Tribolium castaneum: one gene and its partner. The main gene of each other region encodes a partner of the protein of the gene in region 2 in a complex. Links are inferred from orthologs where the notes say so. Each region holds a gene or a part of one and is shown on either strand. Other genes may lie near its edges.

Region 1 (6,441 bases), about 13 Mb from region 2:
TCCCCCGAGCGGCACCAAATGCCCGCAGTTGGGGTTTTCGTCGACAAGCGCATAGTCCCTGGTTTTAAATACCGCGTCCGGCCTTTGCCCCAAATCGGCCAAGACCCCACAATGCACAAGTGCCTCTTCAATGACTCTGCCCTGACTTTGAAAAGCATCGGTCGGGGCTACGCCCGCAGATTCACTTTCGAGGCCACTGATAGTCTCAACAACAACGAAAACTACTTCTGGAGCGACAACCGGCCCGAAGGCTACGCGTTCGAGCTGGAGGTCATCTCCGAAGGGGACAAGTTCACCATCTTCGACATCAACAAAGAGGCGCAAGGCACCGTGGAGGTGCTACAGCTGGAAGTGAGTACCGTCTTCTTCCCATTTTTTCTTGACCAGTTTTCGCAATTTTTGCGCATTTCCCTTGCATTATTTTGTTAGAAACATCCAGCAACAGTCCGGAGCCATCTCATACGTTCACGCACTTAAGCTGAAGTGGGTGTAAGTCTTTCATGCGACGAATGACTCGTACGGGGACGTTTTCTTATGATGCTCACTCTTTCAGGGACCTCAATTTGAAATTAGTAATGTTTACAGCAGGCAAAATATCGAGAAACGGGCCAATGTTAGGTTTACGGGTAAGGTTGAGTTTTACGAAACGGGAGTGGCGAAGCCGATGCCTCTGAGCGGACTGGCGCTGGCTGTGAAGTACAAGCACAAGGGGGCTGCCGAGATCGTTAAAGTCCAAAATGTCGTGATAAACAAACAGAGGTACACCCTACTCCCAGGCATCCAGAAAATACACAGGAGAGTCACCGTTAAAGGGCGGGACATTAACGACGTCCCCACTCAATATTCCATGCACGGACTGGAGCCCTACGAACTCCCCGTTGTTGGTAGGTGACCGCATGGTTTGAAATTTCAAGTTTGACTCATTTCGCGCCTTCAGGTACTTATGTGGATCCCCGAGTCATCCCAGGATTCCACTACAAGGTCAGGCCAAGTGACAGGAAAGAACACTTGTTTGGTGGACGCGCTTTGAAGCTTTTAAGTATCGGAATGGGTTATGCCAAACGATTGACCTTCGAACCTGACTCTCTGCTCAACCCTGACAATTATCTATGGTCTGATAACCATCCCGATGGTCTCGGTTTGGAAATCAGAGCCGTTCATAAAGACATGAAGTTTGTAATCAAAGCTGGGGACCAGATTTTGGGTGAAGCTACAGTTTGGCGAGCTGACAAGCCTCAAATTGAGGAAAAAATGGAGAAGGTAAGTCGCAACTAGAACGTTATATTTTCTGAAAATTTTAAAGAATGCAAGATCGTTTTTCAAAATTTTGGGTTGGTAATGAAAAATTTTCATTAGTGGAATTGAACTTAATTTTTGTAGAGATTAAATTTTTCTCATCATTTCCAGGTTAAGACGCAGTCTGGCAAGCACGCGATTGAGAAATACGTCCACATTGACGTCATGTGCCACATTGCCATTGCTATTCCCGGTGGAGGATGTGACGAAAGCAGCGAGAGATTGATGCGCGTCTATGGCTTGGCTGTGGTGCGAAAAGAGCCCAACAGAAATGAAGCTCACGTTATTAGGGTAGAGAATGTCGGTTTGGACTCGCAACTGAACGTTTTGTTCGCACAAACTCACACTGAACTGACATTCTTCCCCAAAAAATAATCTCACCTCATTTATACTACTTAACGCCACACTCCATGGTAGTTGCAATATTGTGATTTCTTAGGATTTAGTGTTAAGTTATTTTGTATTTGCCTACTTATGTACACTTATTAATAAATGATTTTTGCAATAAAAATCGTGTTTTTTTTTGTACCAAATCCTACAGTGGGTGGAAGAAGATGCCTTTTAATTCGGTATCACACAATTTTTTTATTTCTTCTACAAAAATTAATGAAATAAAAAAATAACGTAACATTTTATACTTACCGCTTATGTCGATAAGACTTGCATTTTTCTGCTGCAAAGCCACGTAAAATTCTCTAGAATTCGAGTTTTTCGCAACAACCCAATAGTCATTCATTGTTTTGACTATCGTCTCGCTAGAGTGGCCCAACAGTGATCTCTTATTGTTCAAATCAGCCATTATTTTTAAAGATTCTTTGGTACATGCAATGTTTCCCGTTTGTTTATTATCCAAATGCGCTGTGCTTTTGTAAGCCAAATTCAATTTATTGAAATAGATAAACCTTGGAGCGTTTTCGGGGACATTTGATGGCGTAATCACTTGTTTGGAACAATATTCGGAAATATCTGACACGATTGCAGTCAATTTGGGGCTAATGAACTCGTCCATGTCTTTGAAATATTGCAAACTTAACTCCTTGTCGGCTATAATTAACAATTAATTTAATAAAACCAAACAAACGAAACAAACCTCTCATAAATAAACAAACGGACGCACTTAGCGCCCTATAAACCACCAAGTTGTAGGACTCGGCCTTCCCTGAGGCAAATAAATAAACTTTGGGTATTTTCCCCACATTTTTGGCTGTTTTTAAATTTGTAGGTCCCGTAATGAAACGACCGTGATGTAATGCAGCAAAAGGTGAAACAGAATTACGGGGCATTGAGCCCCCTTGAAGTTCAGCCTCCATGTTGGCGGGCAGTAAAGTGCCAATTAAATATTGGTACACAATTTTCATGTCTTTGGGTTCAAAACCGCTCCTTTGAATTAGTTATTACTTATAAAACAAGTTTTAAGTTATTTGAATTAATTACCATATGAGATGATCGTTGTATAAGAACGCTGTGTACGCAATTTCGGGATACTCGCATTCAAGTGAATTGATAAAACATTGGACTTTTAAAAAAGTTAGTTTGTCAAGAGGCAGATACTGAATTCCGTGGAACACGTTCAGAATATCAGCATGCCCTAGTTTTAAGGTTTTCAGATACTGTGAAGTATAAATTAAAATTTCTTAAATAATCTTGTTAACTTACAGCTTTATAGAAACTTTCAAGTCTTGTTTTAAGTGTGCCCACATCGTGGTTCTCAATCGTGTGTTCAAAAGTGCCCCAGAAAAGTCTATACGTGTAATAGGCTTGTTTTAAGACGGCTTCGTAAACATTGTCTTGTACATCATCCTCGAGATATTCGATTTGAGTTGAACTGTCCTTCCCCTTAACTTCGGTTGGTAAAGTTAACGTCTATAATATTTAGTGCTTAAAAGTATTGATTAAAGATGTGTAAATACCAAAACAATCCACATATTTTTTTCTGGTTGGAAATACAATTGACGCATTTTTTGCGTATGTAGTGAATTCACTGGAGTGCTTGGTTTAAATGTGCTACAAGAAATCTTACAGTTTTTTGCCCCTTATCTCAAACACTTTACCCAGTGAATTGAATGATCCCCTCAACTAACCCCACATTCTTTATTTGTACATCGGCATTGTCAGATATTGGATAATAATAAAGAATTTTTTTCAGTTCCTGGAAAAGACATTGTGATTGTGTTCTAAAAGGGGCGTACGCACCTCCCCTTCCTTGGGGCCATATAGAGAATTGAAAATAAAAAAGTTTTTTAACTCCACGTCTTTGTTTTTACTCATAATTCCGGTTCGAAACTTATTGAATAATATTATGTTTTTAGAAACAAATTTTTCAAGTCCAAAATTTTTACTAGGTTATGTTATGTTTAGCAATATCCATTGATCCATATTATTCATTTGCCATACATCTCAAACATTAAAAATACGCGGACAGGTACCAAAGTACCTACTTTTGCCGTCAGTTTTAGAACTAGAGCATATCTATTGTATAATTATTCCTTCCTCAAGTGTCTTTAATATTTTTTAAAGTTGTTTGGGATTAGGGAAATTGCAAGTTGCAACGCAAAGATTGACATATAATTTGGCGCCAAAAAGTGTAACCCTTTTTCGAGGTTATTTTCGGGTGTTCCTTTTTCTTTAAAAATAATAATAACGAGTGCAAAAATGGACTTATTAAACTGTAGGCCCGACCAATGGTACCTAAACGAAACGAAATATTCGGAATTACTTCAAAACGAACAAATCTGGAATCAGGTTAGAAAGTTACACTTTTACAATTTTTGAACACTTTGTACATTGTTAGATTCCACTGTTGAATGCAAACGAGCTGCACAATTTCCAAGACTGGCAACTGGTTCGCTTCCAGGGCATGATACAGGATATGCACGGTCCCGAACTCTACTTGGAAAAATTCACTGTTACAAACACTGAAACTGCAGAAAGTACTATTAAATACGGCAAATACGTTGATGGTGCAGACTGTAAGGTAAGAGTAATTTTTTGAAAGCTATTCGGGGGCTGAGTATGTGTTGACAGTCTAATGAAACCATTGAGGAATGTCCCTCAACCACTCCAAGTGAGCGGCATGTTTACGTTGCAATTTCAATCCCTGGTATTAATCCATGGGTTCATAAAGTGAGTATTGTTTTAATTGAGGGGTTGTGTAATAAAAAAATTAGCTTGAGGAGGACAGGTACAAACTACCGTCTACAAGCTCTTCAACTTCAGTGCACTTAAAACGACCCGTTGAAGAAATGGAAGTCGCTAGTGCAACTGAACCATCAAACTCTAACAAGCGCCCATGTAATCAGTCAGCACAACCTGCAGAAACAACACCTGTTGTTTCCCAAGAGTACCTTTTAAATTTCCCAATCCCCAATCCGTCTGGCAAAGTATGCCACTTAAAAGTATACAAAGACATGGACAAGATTAAATTGAACTCAATTTGTGAATTTGTGGGCTTTTTGTCCCTCAATCCGCTTTTAGGGGCTAACATTGATGATGATATGAACGGTCTGGAGTCTCAAATTCACAATCCTCCTCCGTGTTTAATTCCTAGAATTCATTGTGTGTCGTTCAAATCATTGACTCACAATAATCCATTAGTTACGCACGAAAAAATGAGCGCTGATAAAATGCAGATCATTAGAAAAGAACTTTTGATTCTATTAACACAATTAATGTGTGGAGATGAATTGGCAGCCGAGTATTTAATTTACCACTTCATTTCTAAAGTGTAAGGGAATTCGCACATTTGATTCTGCTATTTTTCACGTGTAGACTTTTAGCTACTTGCGGAAAGATTTAATGGCACTTGGAAAATTTTCCTTAAACATTTCCAACGTCCCAATGCTTGAAAACATTGATTATGTCCAGGAAATTTACAAGTTTGTAGAGACCCTCACTACCAAAAGTCATTATTTGCCGATGTTGCTCGAGAATATGAATGAGCTCAATTTTGTTCCAAAGTAAGTTCCGTAGCACCGTTATTTCAGTTTGTGTAAAATGATTCTTCTTGGCTTGTTTTTGAAGAAAAGACTACAGTTCGGATCGTTTAACAAGTAGTGTTTTGCAATTAAGTGATAATACTCATTTGGTGTTGGACGAGACGAAACTAACTCCGGGAAAATTAAACGAGGGCGGAGTTACCGGAGTTCGCGCTCTTTCAAACACCATCAAGAACCAAAAAATCATGTACGATTTCACGTACTATCAGCTCGAGTATGATTGTGATATTCCGTTTCTTGTGTTTTCTGAAGGCAAATCAATGCTGCCGGTTTGTACTTATCACTTTGTTAAACAGTTTTGAAAAAAATTTTTCTAGAGCGATGTTCATGTAATTCTCAAACCAGAAGAAATGCATTTAAAGACTTTCAGCGAGATTCTGGAAGCGGCAAAACATTTCCTCAAACCTGAGCTGCTAAATGATATTCGACTTTATCTAACTAACGCCCGGTTGACCCAATATGACTTATCAGACGGTGTGCTTGAGGTAAATTGCATTTTTTGGTGTCAATTATCAGGAAAAAAAAATTGTAGATGGTCCAAAATAAGTTTGTTGAAATGAGACAAGCTGGTAACATCACAGGAGACGATCTTCACAGTCTCCTTGTTTTGGCGAGACTTGTTTGCATCTCACAAGGAAGAAACACCTTGGATGAGGAATGTTGGAAGAAAGCGTGTGCCTTGGAAGAAGCCCGAAAAGAAAGAATAAAGAATCGCAGTTCCGAGAAATAATTTAAAAGATGTGGTTTTTATTTTCTATTTTCTGATAATAAATTGTCACTTTTTAAACATTGTTTCAATAAACAACCAAACAAAATACGATTACAGTACAACCTCTTTAATCCGAAGAACACAGTGCAAAGTTAATTCGGATTACAGAGGTTTGACTGCATATACATTTGCGCTTTGTGATATTTCACAACAATGAAACACTAAAGCTTCTATTCTCCCTTCAATAACGTTGCCACAAGCAACATTACGAAGTTTCTACTCTTTTGTGAAGATTTTCAAAGTCTTGCAAAACTCCAACGACTTGGTTTTGCGCCTTCTTCAAACTTTGTATCCTTTCTCTTTCCTTCTGTAACAGTGTTAGTCCTCTTTTTACGACTGTATTGTAACGCTGAGACAGCGATTCTTCGTTCCCTTTCACAC
Region 2 (5,226 bases):
AAATGGCCGCATTCGTCACATGCGAAAAAGCAAAGGAGAAGTTGGAAGTTGGGAACCCCTCACCGTCTGTAACAACAGCAAAATTTTGGTTATGGATCGATATTACCCTTTATTACTATTTTTTTTTTGAAATACACGAATATTGTGATACAATCAAACTAATCTACCCTCGCATTTCATTTAAAAAACTGGTTTCATTCTGTCAATAAGATGTGGTTGTTACGACGATGAAGAAAAATACACTTGGTTTACATATTATATTTTCTTCAAATATAAAATTGCAAAAAATACAATGGATAGAAGGTATTAATGAAGCGGATGATTTAGAGAACGAATATTTTTTAAAGAAAACTCAAATCCTAATGTTAATAAAACATTAATTAGTGAGCACTCTTCGAGGTGATAAAAAAATATTAATTATTATTCTCTAACATTTCTTCTTTAATTTTTATTTCCAATTCCAGAAGCTTCGTTTAACTGTTTTTTTAATTTTTCTGTAAAGTGGCACTAAATTTTTATTTTTAGTTCTTCCTCTACACGGTGTATCAAAACCCACTCCCCACCGGAAAGGTGCTATTGGTAACAGCAACAGAGATGGCAAAAATGCAAAAAAAGTAGGTCTTTTATTCTTTGTTTGCGAAATACAGAGGTCTCAAAAGTGACCAATCCCAGAAGCTTTCTCCTAGGTGTAGTGCATACAGTAGATGCGTTAGTAAGGAATGAAAATTAATTCAAGGGCCCACTTTTATTGTCGCTTCTACCTATTTTTTGTTTTCCTAGCAACGTGTTTTGTTCCCCTAGTCCTCTAGAGCAAGGCCTTTTGTGAATGGTTATTTTCAAACGTTCTTATCTCCCAAACACAGAGTTAGAATTTTTTTGTGAAGGAACTTTAGTTTCAGAATTGCTCAAACTATACGCACATTTCCGGTGGGGAGTGAGTTCTGATACAGGCTGTATAATCTCCTTTTTTCTGTATTTTTTTTATTTTTAAACAGCTTCAATCGCGGAATCTGAATCTGTGCTTTAAAATGGTTCTTCTCTGTGCCCCGTAAGTATGTATTTTCCCCGCAGCTAATTTTCTGGCTTTGTTTTTCAAATTGTCAAATTTAATATTAATCTGCTTCAAATTTCTGACATGAATTTTTTAAATTAATTTATATTGTTTTACCTTGACTTATCTTTTTAAATGAACTAATTTATCAAGTCAAGTTAAATTCGATAAAATAATTCTTCGAACAATAAAAGCTCTTTCTTAGCAGAAAAAATAAAGAAATATCGGAAAGTATAGTGCTAAGCGGGAGATTACTGATCAAAGAACTTAATAGAAATTATTTGTTTCATCAGCAAGAATTGCAATGGAAAAGTAGTTTTAATTTCAAAACTTAGTACATACCTACCCAGACATAAAGATAGTGCAAACACTATCAAAAACAATAATAAAAACATTACTACTTTTATTACATTTAATATGGTTGAAGATAAAAAAGTGCGAGGAATTAAATTCAATACTAATTTTATTATAAAAATATTTCAACTAATCTTAAATTCTTAAATAGACCGACAAAATTCTACCCATGGTAGTATCGAATGAGTACATGCTGGGAAAAATAGTAAAAAAAATCTTAGAATAACCGTTTTACAAAGAATTTTTTCAAGTTATTTTGGAGATAAACCGTACGCCACTGATGTGGCACAGTTAGTGGAAAGCATGATAATTACTTGATCAGTGCAATAATCCACGGTATTATATTTTTTGGTACAGGAAAATCGTAACCTGTGTCTCGTTTCGTCTCCCAATTTATAGTCCTCGGTAATGTTTGGACCGAAATAATTTTTTTTATAGAGTTGGCGAAATCGTTATGTTCGAACAGTCGGGGGATTTCCGTGACTAATGTTGGCTGCAAATTGTGCCAGAAACCGCTGGTCTTTCGTCAGGAGTTGGGCGGTGAACAATCAATTGCAGTATGGGGCTGTGGGCACTGTTTTCACGTCACGTGTCTCAAAGTGATCGAAAATGACACGGCATGCCCACAGTGCCGAATGCAGGCGAGCCAAGTTCCGGCCACTCAGCCGGTAAAAAAGTATACTGTCGAAACAAAGACACACGCAAGGCCTGATCTAGAAGGCCACTTTTAAGTACTAGTCTTACTTAGGATATTAACACTTTCCGTCATTAGAAAATTTCTTTTACTACTACCTGCAATTATGTATAAATTTGTGATATTTATATTTTTATTATTTGTACAAATAAAATATATACATGTTATTTATTAGTTATTTCTCTAAAAACGTTGAGTTGTACTGCTGTACGAATTGGTTCAGTCTTTCATCTACAAAAATACAAATAAAAATTAACTCAAACGTATAAAATAATGACCAACCTTTGCTAAAAGCCCCCGCGAACTGCGACGTATTTTTAAAATAATACAAAACGCTATGAAACATCCCGTCATCGCCTGTATTTTGGGCCGCTTGGAGAAATTTCCTTGGGTTGGCATTTTCTTGCCCCAGTTTAAGGGCCGACAAGACCTGCCCCTCACTCAAGAGAATCTCCTGTATCTCCTCAATGGCGTTCAGTCTTGCCAACATATCGAGCGCCAACTGAGACGCCGCTGGGTGCAAATTACCCAGTGATAAGAGCAAGCAAGCCAAGGGTTTGGAATCCGAAACCACCCCATACTGGAGCAATTGTTGCAAAGCTGTGAATTTTTTTCGCTTCACGAGCGTTGTAATCAGCAATTCGTTCAGATTGTGCTGTGCTGGAATGCCTTGTTCGAAAAGCGACGTCATGTAACTAATCAAAGTCCACTCGAGCTTGCCTAGATCTTTGTCGGCTTCTAATTTTTGGAAAATTTCGTTGTACATGTCCATTTGGTCGATTTGGACCCTTGACAGAGGGGGCGGTTTCAGGGAGGGGGCCCCTGGAGGGGAGGCAGTGTGTGACTGCAGCTCCGCCTCCAGGCACTCTCGATAGACATTGTTTATGTGGTTGAAGGATTCTTGCAATTTGTCTAAAGGCGGTTTAGGTTGTCTTATAGCTTCAAGAAGCAGCTAAAAATGTTTAAAATTGGATTAAATTTAGATTGTAAGACAGGAAACGTACTTTGAGTAATATTGGTTTGCCGTTTGTCCGCTTCAGCGCTAGTTGTGTACAAGTGGCTAAGTCAGTGATTGAGCTACACAGCTCAGCTAAGCACAAGTTAATGTGCCACAAACACCCCAGTTTTGCATCAATTACAATATTCGGTTGGAAAACAACCCAGTTTGGAGAATCTTAAATTGATAACACAATGTCAAATAAAAAAACAGCTGGCTGAACTCACATAGTTCGCAAAGGTGTGATTGAGGTTCAACCAATCCAGGCAGAGTTATTTGAGCTGGTTTAAATGACCTAGCTGGCGCCACTGTCGTGTGGTACCTTACTGTACCGTCGCTTTCTCCGGGTAAAGCGGTGTCGAATATTTGCGAGCTTCGTGACGCCTATGATCGGAAGGAACATTCAATGTTTTTAAAACTGCAGATAACTCGGAGCGATTTGGTACATACTACATGCGATAAATTTTGATAAAAATATAGGGTGAGCTAACTGTGGTGGTGTACTTGCGAAATTTTCTTGGGTGACAAAAGTACCATGCGATCATTTTAATTTATAATTAGAGTAGGGTTTTCCTTTTCATTGTGATTGATAAACTTTCAAACTCAAGTAAAAAAAATAGAAATTAAAAATGCATTTTGTCTTGACTTCTAGTTGTGCTTGATAGATTAGTACAATTAAACTAATTATACTAGAAACTTTTACTGTTTCGTATAACATTTTTTACAAAGTTGTGATTTACGAGTTTAAATTCTTAAGTTCATTGTAATTTTTTATAAAGAGAAACAAACTGTGCTATCGGTGCTGTCTTTGTGAAATTAAATTGCGAAATGGGAAATTTGCTATTTGGACAACAACATGTACTACAAACACTAAAAAACTGATTTTTGGAATAGTGATTCGTATAGGGTACATTCACGATCCTAAACAATGTCACCTCTACAAACCGGGCCGGTTAGCGAGGAGCAGGAACTCAAACCACAACAATAAAACTTCTGGGTCACAAATGTCGTAATTCATAAACATTCCTTGGAATGGTGAAATTTGATTATTGTCATGAATGATATTAAATTTGTGAATTACAGTGGGTTTACAGAAAACGAATTAAAATCTAATTCAACATTACATTAATCCATTTATCATTTACTCTAACAAAAGTCAAATTAGTTGCGAATTAAAATTTGATTGCAATTAAGGGTTCTTTGAACCGCCTTAATTTAGCAAAAATGAACTTTATCGCATAAAGTAGGTAAAGAATAATTTGATATTTTTTCTTTTTAACGAAATTATAATTTTAATTTTAAAATAAGAAGATAATGATTTGTTTTAAATTAATTCTCTATGCAAAAGCAATAAAAAAATGGATGACATATTCTGCCCTCTATATTGTTTTCATACCTATGGTTTTTACTAAATGCATAATTGGTTGAATTTACTAAGATGAAAGTAATCTGTAGTCAACAATTTTACTGCTCGTTATTCCTCATCTTATACCAAAATCATCTTTTTGCGTAACTTACACACGTAATAGCAGGGTTATTAGTAGTTATTACTTATTGGCCCGAACATACACATACTAAAAATGTTCAAGAATTTACAACGATTAATTTTGATGCTACCGATTATAAGGAACAAATAAATTAGAGAGTACGGCACCAACTCACCACCCCATCAGTTCTACCTAAGGTTATTAATTATTGTAATTAATGAAAAGCTTGTAACATTTAACATTACTTTCCAGAAGAGAGTTTAAATTAAACTTAATTAAAAAAAATGCATTGATACTGATGGATCTTTTCCCCAAATTGCATTTTCAAATTTGAAATTAATCAATTTCAAAAATGAAAAATAAAATGAAATTTATTTATTCCTTAAGCAAGAGTTGGGTGACAATTTGACAAACCCTAAACCAAAATACGTAGTGCAATACGAAAATACTGACGAGTAAAAAGTCGGTCATTTGACTCAATTAAGTCATGTTAATTAACTTATTAAGATGAATAATTATAGTGCAGAAAAAATGCTTATCTTAATTCTTATTGTGTAATAATTATAGGGAAATTAAAGCAACGTATAAAATTCATATTTTTGTAGTAGGTCACTTTGCACAAAAATCTTTGAACAAGTCGTTA

The links. Proteins that work in one complex are often made in the same cells at the same time.
Region 1: the proteins of Bulli (region 2) and Ccz1 are in contact, whole or in part, in a cryo-EM structure (PDB 8JBE), measured with the Drosophila melanogaster proteins. The link is inferred for Tribolium castaneum from reciprocal best matches to the Drosophila melanogaster genes Bulli and Ccz1. Residues at the interface, in NP_648047.2 of Drosophila melanogaster: Tyr395, Gly397, Phe407, Tyr464, Ser467, Met470, Leu471, Gln474, Asn477, Asn498, Arg499, Asp502, Thr503, Arg505, Arg506, Leu507, Tyr510, Met512, Asp530, Thr531, Ala532, Gln535, Ile538, Asp539, Arg543, His547, Ile550, Lys559, Asp562, Leu566; in NP_647835.1 of Drosophila melanogaster: Tyr188, Leu189, Pro190, Leu191, Asp192, Lys193, Thr194, Phe196, Leu197, Arg198, Gln200, Asn201, Glu207, Val223, Leu224, Cys225, Gly226, Lys228, Tyr342, Asn385, Gln387, Ser388, Pro427, Ala428, Asn447, Tyr448, Arg449, Asp479, Phe483, Lys485.

What each region holds. Positions count from the first base shown.
Region 1 is NC_087394.1:35,478,760-35,485,200, forward strand, and holds Ccz1 (vacuolar fusion protein CCZ1 homolog), read right to left. Parts: upstream 3,623-6,441; 5' UTR 3,565-3,622; coding exon 3,490-3,564; intron 3,446-3,489; coding exon 3,348-3,445; intron 3,301-3,347; coding exon 3,207-3,300; intron 3,160-3,206; coding exon 2,953-3,159; intron 2,907-2,952; coding exon 2,731-2,906; intron 2,677-2,730; coding exon 2,387-2,676; intron 2,341-2,386; coding exon 1,939-2,340; intron 1,891-1,938; coding exon 1,832-1,890; 3' UTR 1,738-1,831; downstream 1-1,737. Other genes in the region: uncharacterized protein LOC655748, read left to right, coding at 1-351, 554-884, 938-1,260, 1,408-1,671; mini-chromosome maintenance complex-binding protein, read left to right, coding at 3,949-4,038, 4,088-4,270, 4,321-4,419, 4,464-5,020, 5,073-5,252, 5,317-5,560, 5,609-5,776, 5,824-6,021; ciliary microtubule inner protein 2B, read right to left, coding at 6,266-6,441. UniProt on the Drosophila melanogaster protein: Part of the Mon1-Ccz1 guanyl-nucleotide exchange factor complex specific for Rab7 that promotes the exchange of GDP to GTP, converting Rab7 from an inactive GDP-bound form into an active GTP-bound form.
Region 2 is NC_087394.1:22,495,383-22,500,608, reverse strand, and holds the end of Bulli (regulator of MON1-CCZ1 complex), read right to left. Parts: intron 3,481-5,226; coding exon 3,324-3,480; intron 3,274-3,323; coding exon 3,104-3,273; intron 3,052-3,103; coding exon 2,382-3,051; intron 2,331-2,381; coding exon 2,275-2,330; 3' UTR 2,215-2,274; downstream 1-2,214. Other genes in the region: Vps8 (vacuolar protein sorting-associated protein 8 homolog), read left to right, coding at 1,844-2,136. UniProt on the Drosophila melanogaster protein: Positive regulator of the Rab7 guanyl-nucleotide exchange activity of the Mon1-Ccz1 complex, possibly by enhancing its endosomal membrane association.